3 linked regions of the Ovis aries genome follow. The protein of the gene in region 3 interacts with the protein of the main gene of each other region in a biochemical or structural test. Links are inferred from orthologs where the notes say so. Each region holds a gene or a part of one and is shown on either strand. Other genes may lie near its edges. The genes, in order: MIS18BP1, OIP5 and MIS18A.

Region 1 (3,652 bases), on a different chromosome or scaffold from region 3:
GAGCAAAATAAGACTTCACGCCTGGGTCTTCTTAACTTTTAATCCACTGCTCATTTCACTAGGCCACACTGCCTCTACACTAAATATTAACAAAAACCCAAAATGAACCTGTTAATGAGAGCAAAAGAGCTTATGCACTTTAAGAATGAGGGTGAAAACAAGTATTTATCTGCCTTAAAAGTTTTCCTACCTTAATTTTAACTCCATTTGTAATAGTTTGGCTTATACTTGGAGAAAGGTTCCAGGCATTTATTTTTGATCTCTGAGGTATTGTTATATGACATTGCGGAGTTGCAAGCACGATTTTACAAGTATCATTCAAGGAACCTGGAAAAGCAGTCTCTCTGTGCACTGTTCTCTCATTTCCTTCCTTAATTTCCTGTTTTGAAGTGCCTTCTGTTGTAATCTTACTATCACTAGAAACCAGTAATTGACCACCATTCTCAACATTATTACCACAAAGAGTCTCAACAGTGGTATTTGGGGACTTTTCACGGGTAGAATCAATGTCTTCTAAAATAAATGTTTCCTTTTGGGATTTATTGGTTGCAACTATATTCTCCTTTGAGTGAAGAATTTGTCTAGCCAGCTGAGCTCTAGTTAGTACCCTGTTTGCAGCTGCAACATTTTTACGTTCTTGATTCAGAACTGGAAGCTCTGCAAAAAATACAAAACCAAACAAAATTTACAGATGGTTAATACGAAATGAAAAGAGAACAAGAGAAAAATTTAAAACTTTGAATTGCCTATACAGGGAAAATAATTATCTAGAACATTTAACCATACATTCAAATAACAAACTAAAAACAAAACAAAAAGCACTTTACCATAAGTTAAATTGTGCAGAGGCACCTTCTTTTCCTGCTGATATGTAATCTTTTGCTTGACTGGCACAAAAATATTATTTGATGATTCCAGAGGAACTTCTTGGACTGAGGTTGAGTTTTCTTTTTTTAAAGAAAGAAGTTGTATTAGTCAATAAGAGAAAAAAATGCCTTTAAAACTCTTGGAATAAAGATTTAAATTTGGTAATGATCAGACCCACAGAGTATACTTAAATACATGACAGTTACATTGAGTTTTTGCCCTTTATTATTATCTCATATCTTCAATGCATTCTCTATACCTGTATTATGCTGAGAAAGAATTTTTTAAAAATTTCTCCGCATTACCTGCCAGCTCTAGACACAAGTATACTACTGGACTTAGACACCTAGAGATCTAGAATAAAATTCTAGTGCTGCCACAAATCAGATATGTATATGTCAAGGTCATATATCAAGCGCCATCCTGTCTTGAAAATTCTGATTTTGCTTCTGGTTCTGGAAATTTCTAAAATGTGGACGAACAGTTGTAACAGATTTAAAAATCAAAATGTTGAGATTCAGTAGCAGACTAAGTCATAATTTATACTGCTTTGACATCCCTTTAGCAGGTCTTCAAAGACACAAATTTGGTAGGCTTAATCACTAGACAAACAGGAACTAATTGCATTGTTTATATTTTATTCTGCTTTACATCCTAGATGGTTAAAGTTCTGTATCTTGAATATAGAAATGAGTTTCTTTCACATAAAAAGGGGAAGGTAATAAACTTAAAATTTGTACCAGAGAAGGAAAAACTGAATTATTTTATATGTTTAATTTCAAATATTATACTTGAAAAAACTGGTAGTGATTATACTTTAATATGTATGTTGCTTTGGCCTTACAAACCTCAATATAAAGATTTTATTATAATGATATGTCATATAAGGTAAGTTTCTATTTCTTTAAATCATTCTACTAGAAATGGCAGAGCAATGTAGTACAGATGAGTAGATAATTCAATCATATACAACATGGTACAGAACACAGGCCATTTATTTCAATTCAGGGATCCATGTAGGGACTCTCCAAAAGATCTCTGAAATTACATACAAAATCTGTGTTTGTATATATGTGTATTTTCTAGGAAGTCAGCAGATTCTTAAAGCAGTCAGTTGTTTCTTCCTTTCTCTAATCCCAGTTTACATATAAAACATGCCATAATGTACCTTATTTCTCTTGCTTCCCCCTTTTCTCTTAGACTGTATGAGATTATTTGTATATTCACCTACCTCCATCCTAAACTCCCTTAGAAAACCACTTTTGTGTCAAAATACATCACTGTCTTTGAAATACAACAATATACCCACAATCTATTATGTAGCAGTTAAGAGCATGAGCTTTCTAATAGATATGTGTATTTAATTCTCAGCTTATCACTTACTTACTACCTGTGAGACCCATGGTGCTGCTGCTACGGCTGCTGCTGCTGCTAAGTCACTTCAGTCGTCTGACTCTGTGCGACCCCATAGACGGCAGCCCATCCGGCTCCCCTGTCCCTGGGATTCTCCAGGCAAGAACGCTGGAGTGGGTTGCCATTTCCTTCTCCAATGCATGAAAGTGAAACGTGAAAGTGAAGTCGCTCAGTCATGTCCAACTCTTCGCGATCCCATGGACTGCAGGCTACCAGGCTCCTCCGTCCATGGGATTTTCCAGGCAAGAGTACTGGAGTGGAATGCCATTGACACAGAGCAGACGTCAATTTATTTAAAAGCTCCATTTCCTAGACAATTAAATGAGCATAAATCCATAGTGTTTGCTGAAAGGAGCAAATGAGATAATGCATGTAAAGTATCTTTTATCAATTACTGGCTTCTGAAGTTACCGTTTTGGTTTTTCTTCCTCATCGTCTCAGTGGCTTTCACTACTTTCTGCTCTTTATTCTAACTTCTAAATTTCAGGGTGCCCCAGAACTTATCCTTAAACGTTTTCTTTGAAAACATTTCAACATACACAGTTTTTTCAAGTATAATATACTTACTTCTTGATGATCCCATCTAATCTTATAGCTTTAAATACCATTTAGGTGCTAATGACTCCAAATGTATTTCTCAGGTAGGCCACTTCCCTAAATTCCAGCTAATTTTTTTCAACAGCCTAATTCACATCTACACTTCAGTATTTAACAGACATATCAAAATTGATATGACAAGAAACATAATTACTGAGTCCTCAAAACTATTCCACCTCTGTCTGCTCCACCTCAGTTAAACTGCTCCATTCTTCCAGTTGCTTGAGCAAAAAAAAAAAACCCAAACCAAACAAATCACCCAGGTCATCCTTTATACCTCTCTTATATTCCACACTCCCATCTCAACATATATCTGGAGGGACTTCCTTGGTGGTCCAGTGGCTAAGATTCCATGAACTCCCAACGCAGGGGGCCTGGGTTTGATCCCTGCTTAGGGAACTAGATCCCACATGCCAAAACTAAAAGATCACATGTGCCACAATTAAGACCCTGTGCAGCCAAATAAATAAATAAAATATTAAAACAAATTAACAACCCCCCTCCCCAACCCCCACCCTTGCCAAAACCAAAATCTATCTGGAATCCAGCAACTCTTTATCATCTCCACTGCTACCACCCGACCAAGCCAATGCCATCTCTCACCTGGAATACTAAAATAACTATTTCAAATTAACAGCTAGAGTGATACTTTTAAAATTTAAGTCAGACTGCGACATTCCTCTGCTCAAAACCCTCTAGTGGCTCCTTAATTTGCTCACAATAAAAACCCAAACCCTTATTTTACCTATGAGGCCCTTATAGGACCCTCCTAAAA
Region 2 (4,185 bases), on a different chromosome or scaffold from region 3:
CTGGGTACTGATTATTTTAATTAATTTAACTACTTAAAATATCTGTGAGGACTGATCTAAACATTCACTCAGTTTAAACACTACAGCTTGCAGAATAAATCTCCAGAATATACTTTAATATTATGTGGGAAAACTCCACTAAATATACAGAACAATATATACATCCAATCCAGAATTGAACATTTTCCCCCAAACGTTTCGCAGTATCAGAGTCAAAGACCTCATCGGTTTTGAATAGAACACTACCACAACAATGACCAATAGACGAACGATCCTACTGAATCAGAGCTAACTTAATAAAAACTTATCCACGGGGGAGGTTCCCTAAAAATCATCCTTTCTTCCGTCCTCCATTCAAGTAGCAGGAAATTTTGGGACCTCTTACAATTAACAGAACTGTTAGCTGTTTGGAGTTTTCCAGAAGCAAAGGCAATTTAACAAAAGTGTGAGCTGTTTGGAGTTTTTCGCGACCGCCTATTAATTGGCGTTTAGATGCAGCATTCCTTTAGTTTTCTAAAGGGCCTGCCTTTCCTAACAGATGGACTGATAAATAGCAGAGTACTCCCAATAAAACCAAAGCAAACAATTTTGGAGGCGGGCATCTTTCTGAGTCCCTGTAAGAGTCAGCCTCAACAAAGGTGAAAACTTTGACACCCTCTCGGTTTTGCACAGTTACTTGGACCCTTGGGTAAACCAAAATCTACCGCCCCAAGGCCGGGACAGTCGCCTCAGCCCTCGAAATTCCCGCTCGGTCCCCTCCCACAGCGTCTCAAAGAAGCCGCATATCCTATCCCCCAGTCACCGGCCCCGTACCCTCAGGTTAGCCCGGAGGCCCAGGTTCTTGGCCAAGTTCTGCAGGTCACTGTACTTGAAGGAGTTCAGCTCCTCCAGGGAGGGAACGATCATGGCGAACTGCAATCCAGGTAACGACGCGGAGGCCCGATACTTAACTTGCTAAGGCGCCGCTCAACGCTCTGGCGCCACTCAAAGCGTTGAGCAAACCGGTATTTATAGAGAGTTTAAATTACGTAAGCTGCACTTCCATTGGTTACAAATCCGTTAAAGGCGGGGTCTTCTGGTACTGACCAATAGGATGGTTGACTTCCCTTCCACCTGACCCACGATCTTCTCCACACTGCCCTAACACCTAGGCGCCAAACGGCGTGTCCAGGCAACAAAGTGCGCGGCAGAGCCCCCGTTCACGTTGTCCAATGAGGACGCAGGAGCCAACTTGGGGTGGGGCCTAAATAGTCTTTGAAACGGTGGCGCCGGCTGCGGGAAGATGGCTGCTCGGCCGCGGAGGCATGTTTCTCGGATTGCAAAGCAGCCACGGGGTGACTTCTGTGATGGGACTAAGAAAGCGATTAATGAACCTTCTTTTGCGACTTCCATGGAGTGGGACACGCAGGTGGTGAAAGGGTCTTCGTCGGTCGGCCCCGCAGGGCTGGGGTTGGAGGAGCTGCCGTTCCGCCCGCGGCTGCCGCGATGGCTGCAGCCCGAGAGGTGCGCGGTGTTCCAGTGCGCGCAGTGCCACGCCGTGCTCGCTGACTCTGTGCATCTCGCCTGGGACCTCTCGCGGTCCCTCGGGGCCGTGGTCTTCTCCAGTGAGTGAGCGCGGCGCCTTCTCACTGGGTGACTGAGAGCAGCTGGGAGGAAAGCAGGATGAAAATTTGGAAGGAACTTAACTCCTTTGCTGGGGGGTTGGGGGGGGCGAATAACTTTTTACGATATTCGTGACCATGATGAGCTTTTCTGACTGAGAGAGGTTTTCCCTTTCAGTGCCTCACAGGTAGTCATTCTGACCTGTGTTTGCCTTTTAGGAGTCACAAATAATGTCGTTTTGGAGCCTCAGTTCCAAGTTGGCGTTGAAGGTTCGCTCAAAGGCAGGTACGTACTGAAAATTCCAGAACTGTCTCTAGTTATTCCCTGACTTATTGTGGTTGAAGAGCGTGGAACCGACTTGGACCAGAAGTTTTTTCCTATCTTCCACTAGGAGAAATGTCTGTTTCGTTCATACAGTGTACTTGAAGAATGCTCCGTTTACCTGATTGTCTTGTACGAACTTGATGTTTTAATGAAATGGCAAAGATACTTGTGTAAAGGTTTTAAGATCTTCTGAGGGCCACATTTCCCTCGTGGGTTGTGCAAGTGAAGTGAATTTAAGAAAATTAGGAGGGGAAAAAGGGAGAAAATTACCTTTAAGTGAATCACTTTTTATAAACTGCAATACTTTGACATAATAGGACATATACACTTGCATTACACCTGGAATTTGTAATAAACTACAGCGGGACTAATTCTGCTGTAACCTAGGAACCTGGAGAAAAACACAGGTTGAAAGTTAGGTCCTTGAATACTGCCTGGTGAACTTTGCATCGTATCTGTACTGTGATTTAGAAGTGACAACAAAGTACTCAGTGAATTCAGTACAGAGCTCCTCAATTTTCAGTGTTGATTTTAACAGCAAGACAATTCATTTTGACCATTGGTTGGTCCAGTTTTAGTGTTAAATAGAGTACGTTTAGGAATTCTTAGTTGCTGTACTCAGTAACCAGGAAGACTTCTGTAGCTCCTCTTTCCCAGCTGAAAGATTCCTTATCCTTCCAGGAGTGTCTACACACCCAAAGGAAACTGGGAAAGAGTGGTGGCCTGCTTGGAACTGGTTCATTTGGGGCCCGAGGCAGAAGCTCTTTGAATATCTTCTTAGAGAGAAGTACATCTAGCTAGATCTGTGCTGTCCAGTACTGTCACTTGTCACATGGTGGCTACTGAGCACTAAAAACGGTGGCCATTCTGAACTGAAATATGCTGAGTGCAAAATACACGTAAGATTTTGAAAATAGTCAAAAACATTGAATAATTTAGAAATATTGATTACATGGGTTTTGCTGTTGTTGATGTCGTTTTTTTGTTTGTTTTTGGCCCCACTGTACAGCTTGTGGGGTCTGAATTCCCAGACCAGGGAGCACATCTGGCCAGGGCAGTGAAAGTGCCCAATCTTAACCACTGGACCCCCAGGGAATTCCCTTGATTACATGTTGAAATGATGTCTTTGAATATTGGGTCACATAAAATATATTAAAACTAATTTCACTTGTTACTTTTACCCTTTTTTTTTAAACAAGACTAATAGAAGATATGAAACTACTTACATGGCTTGCATTCTTATAGAAAGTACAGATCTAGATGGCTTTTAAAACACTGGAGAGAAAGTTCGATGTATTTACGTTTTTGAAATAAGGAGAGCCATGGGATTCAGCAAGAAGAGATTTATTGTCAGGAATTGGTTCACTCGATTATGGAGGGTGAGAAGTTCCAAGAGCCATGGTTGACAAGCTGGAGACACAGGAAGGCCAAAGGTTTAGTTCTAGTCCAAGTCCACAGGCCTGAGACCCATGAGCCAAAGGTGCGACTTCCAAAAACACAGTATTGCGTGTGTAGTGTGGGACTTCATCTACCAATAAGTTTAGTGCGTTTGTTCCTTGGTCCTGTTTAGTGTCCATTGACATGAATTTGTTTATTTTTAGCCATGCAGTTATACTTTATTAGTACTGTTTTACTGCATAGTATATTATGTTTATACAAATAATTTTTCCCTCATTGAACCACTCTAAATCGCTTTTAGTACATGCACGACAGTTAATTTTTTCTTACAACATTTCTTTGTAATATTTAGATTTGTCTTATATACTAGCAAATAAGGTCAATCAGTTACTCAAATGGTTTAAATAGAACTAAAACCACATTTCTTTTAGAGGATAAAGGAAAATAAAGTAGATGACTTGCTAGGATCATAAAATTTCTTTCTTTTTCATTTTGTCTGGGAAATTGTTTTTGGTTACATCTGCAAAAAAATCCTGATTTGCATTCTATTAATAAATTGCTTAATAAGCCCTAGTCAACTTGATTGTTTTACTTCAACTGCAAATTGGCTTAATGGTGGCTAATTTATATGGTTATGTGTAGTTTTATATGTTTAAATGTTAATCTGATTAGTTAGCTCTTTTTCTGCTTTTCAGATATAAATTACTTTTGCAAAGTGACAGTTGTGTATCCATGATTGCTTTTGTAGCCAGAATTCACAAAGTTATCTGTAATCCAGTGTTCTTGCCTGGAGAATCCCAGGGACAGGAGAGCCTGGTGGGCTGCCTTCTGTGGGGTCACACAGAGTCAGACACTACTGAA
Region 3 (3,652 bases):
TAGCTGGCGGTGTTCGAGCTTCTCATTGCGGTGGCTTGTTGTGGAGCATGGGCCCTAGGAGCTCGGGCTTTAGCACAGGCTTAGTTGCTCCACGGCATGTGGAATCTTCCTGGGCTAGGGATCGAACCCTTGTCCCCTGCATTGGCAGGTGGATTCTTATCCATTGTACCACCAAGGAAATCCAGCATACTCTCTGCTTTGTCACTTGTGTGCATGCTGTCTGTCACTGGATACTGAAGGCAGTGTGACCTGGAAGTGCTTTCAAATGTAAGCATCTTACTATCTTTTTTTTTTTCCTTTTTATACATAGGACCTAGTAGGGTCAGGGTAACATACTTCAGCAACTTAAACGTTTAGGTGTTTACAGATCTCAACAACGGGGTGTTTGTGGTAACCAGTCACTAAAGGGCGACGTTTCTTGTTGCAGCATCCTGCAGACTTTGTACTGCACAGGTTGTTCGCTCAGCCTCGGCTACCTGTACAGGTGCACACCCAAGGATCTAGACTACAAGAGGGACATGTTCTGCCTTAGTGTTGAAGCCATTGAAAGGTATGTTTGAGGCATACATGAATAGCTCATCGCTGAATTCTCAGAAAGTTGTTTGCAGACAAATTGGTATGAAAATTTGGAGACTAAACATTGTTTGGTTAAAATATGTTTTTAAATAATAATTTCTGACCCTAAAGCAAGTGATTTTTGTTGTTGTTTGGACCTGATTTATTTGCTATTGGAAAAGTCTGTTATGCTAAATTGTAAAAGAAAGCCCTGTGAGAACATTTTGTAGAGTAAAAATTTGCTGTTTTTCTTAATTAAATTTAGTTTAGTAGGATTTTTTTTAAAGCAATTATGTGTATCAATATATTTTGTCCATTTTATTTTTTCCTCTAGTTTTTAGTCTAGTATAATAACTTGAAAAAATAGGAATTTCAGAAATGGTTGGGAAAGAAGTCCCTTTGTTCTGGAAAAGTAGAAATGCAAAGTCCAGCTATTTCCTAGAGGACTGTAAATAACTGCCTGCTGTTTTGAGAGATGCAAGGAAGTACCTTCATTTTTCAAGACTTCTAAAAGGTGTTTGGCGAGAACGTGAATTAGGGTCTGATGACATATATCTTACTGACCCTTTAGTTCATTAACCTTTTAAAATTGGAAACAAAATTAATTGACCCCAATGTCTTTTCACTTATCCTGGAAATGATGTAACTCTCAAGACTTTAGAGATTGTTGTTTAGTAGCTCAGTCGTGTCCAACTCTTTATTAGCTCATAAACTGTAGCCTTCCAGGCTCTTTTGTCCATGAGATTCTCCAAGCAAGAATACTGGAGTGGGTTGCCATTTCCTTCTCCAGGGGATCTTCCTGACCCAGGGATCGAACCCGTATCTCCTGCATTGGTGGGTGGGTTCTTACCGCTGAGCCACCAGTTAGGTTTTCTTAGAGATGCCTAGGAAACCTTAAATATCAAGAAAGAAGGACAAAAGTGCCTACACTTTCATTACTTGAAGTATGTTGTCACTTTGTTGAATTTCTTAGATTTTCTCTTTAAAAAAATTTAGAATAGTGTTCTTTTTATTATAATTTTTCATTTAATTATTTTTTGATTACTACAGTTTTACCACCATCTTTGAAACTAGACAAGTTTGGATCAAAATTGTGAAATCTGCAAACTTTTTACAGCCTTTAACACAAGAGAATAATGTAGCAAGTACTGCTCATTGATGTAAAGCATGCAGGCCCACCTGGGGAGAGATCAGATCTGATTTGGTTTTAATATGTAAATAGAAGACTCATGCCCAAACAACTGCTCCCTTAATCTCCATGGGAATTTTACCAAGACTTGTGGAAATTATGTGGGGGAGAGGACAAGTATGAACGACATAAAATCTTAAACAAGTATGGTTGGCACAGAACTTTAAAAACGATCCATGTCTGTATTTCTGCACAGAGGATCCTAGTATCGAAGCTGTTCTTTCCCCAATAGTTGAATTTAAGGAAAAGTTACCTCATAGGGCAGAATTTAAATGACAGGGAACCAGGTGTGTTTTAGAAATGGATGCTGTCCGTAATGTTTATTTACAGCATTATAAATTAATCAGTGCCATTTAATTTTCCCCATCTCATTTTTCTTTTCTAAATAAGATATTAACTGCCTTCTGTAATTTTTCCTTTGATGACATTTTTTAGAAATTTAATCAATTAATCTTGGGTTTCCAACAGAAGACTGTTTATATTTAACAGAAGTGACGTACTGAAGTTGTTACACGTGGTGAAAGACTTCTAAAGAAATACAAACGAATGAAGGTTTTTATGTTTTGTTTTTTTCTTGAGAAATAACAGCACCTTCTCCACTGTTGAGATTTATTTGGTTGCCAGAGCTGGGCTTGTTTTCTTCCATTGCTAGGCCAGTTATATTTTCAAATTGTAGCATGTCATCTGGAGAAGGTGATGGCACCCCACTCCAGGACTCTTGCCTGGAAAATCCCATGGATGGAGGAGCCTGGTGGGCTGCAGTCCATGGGGTTGCTAAGAGTCGGACACGACTTCACGACTTCACTTTCATTTTCAGTTTCATGCATTGGAGAAGGAAATGGCAACCCACTCCAGTGTTCGTGCCTGGAGAATCCCAGGGACGGGGGAGCGTGGTAGGCTGCCGTCTGTGGGGTCTCACAGAGTCAGACATGACTGAAGCGACTTTGCAGCAGCAGCAGCATGTCATCACCTCAGAGAGCAGAGCAAAACATGAGTTATAAAATAACTGTTGAAGTTGCCGAAATCTAGGTAATCAACAATTGATGCTACAGATTACATACTAAAAGTCAAAACTTGAAAATACACAAAAACTTGAAAATGCACATGTTCTTGAAAAGTTACATAAAACAGTGGCTTCTTCAGGATCTTTTAAAACTTCAAAATGTTACTGTTGTACCACCCAGCTTACTAAAGAGCCAGTTTTATTCCCAATAATGAAATATAGCATTGAGAAATATGTAGAGTTCTTGGACAAAGCTGTTATGGAGAATAACATGATTTCATGTAGTTCAGCTTCCTATGTAGGTTTCTATTAACAAAAGTAATTGTTTTATGTGTTTACTCGGTACTAATATATACTTCAATATACTTTGAGTTTTAATGTTATCAATATAAACTTTATATTTACTCCCTTCTCATATTTTAACTTTGTATTGTACTGTACTTCAGTTATGTTTTAGGGTCATCTGAAAAGCAAATTGTGTCAGAAGACAAAGAGCTTTTTAATCTTGAAAGTAGAGTTGAAATAGAAAAATCTCTAAAGGAGGTAATTTTGTTCTGCACTTTTTGTATCTTTGTATAAACAACTTCCAGTCAATGACCAAGTGCTGCTCCATGAATAATTCTTAATTGTGTCTTCTCTTTTGATCTTAGCATTCATGGTGAGAGAGTGCTTATTTTATTTCAGTTGTTAGTAAAGTTGATTTACTGGGAACCAAACTACAAATTAAGCCAAAACTTTATGGAAAAAATTATAAAGACGTTCCATGCTAAATCAAAGCAGTATGTATTCTAAAACTATTAAAATAGAAATATATCTTTAAATCAGTATTTGATTTAATTTTCATGGTGAAAACAGCCTTGTTTTTGAATGTTAACATCCTGTCACAGGCAAGATAGTGGTGAATA

Evidence for each region.
Region 1: the proteins of MIS18A (region 3) and MIS18BP1 form a complex in vitro, tested with the Homo sapiens proteins (2 studies listed by BioGRID). The link is inferred for Ovis aries from reciprocal best matches to the Homo sapiens genes MIS18A and MIS18BP1.
Region 2: the proteins of MIS18A (region 3) and OIP5 form a complex in vitro, tested with the Homo sapiens proteins (3 studies listed by BioGRID). The link is inferred for Ovis aries from reciprocal best matches to the Homo sapiens genes MIS18A and OIP5.

The regions. Positions count from the first base shown.
Region 1 is NC_056071.1:52,777,524-52,781,175, forward strand, and holds part of MIS18BP1 (mis18-binding protein 1), read right to left. Parts: intron 2,621-3,652; exon of another isoform or gene 2,271-2,620; coding exon of another isoform or gene 2,258-2,270; intron 948-2,257; coding exon 828-947; intron 658-827; coding exon 191-657; intron 1-190. UniProt on the Homo sapiens protein: Required for recruitment of CENPA to centromeres and normal chromosome segregation during mitosis.
Region 2 is NC_056060.1:34,994,438-34,998,622, reverse strand, and holds the start of OIP5 (protein Mis18-beta), read left to right. Parts: upstream 1-1,274; 5' UTR 1,275-1,282; coding exon 1,283-1,604; intron 1,605-1,820; coding exon 1,821-1,887; intron 1,888-4,185. Other genes in the region: NUSAP1 (nucleolar and spindle-associated protein 1), read right to left, coding at 814-906. UniProt on the Homo sapiens protein: Required for recruitment of CENPA to centromeres and normal chromosome segregation during mitosis.
Region 3 is NC_056054.1:123,908,589-123,912,240, forward strand, and holds part of MIS18A (protein Mis18-alpha), read left to right. Parts: intron 1-427; coding exon 428-550; intron 551-2,212; coding exon of another isoform or gene 2,213-2,276; exon of another isoform or gene 2,277-3,175; intron 3,176-3,193; coding exon 3,194-3,290; intron 3,291-3,652. UniProt on the Homo sapiens protein: Required for recruitment of CENPA to centromeres and normal chromosome segregation during mitosis.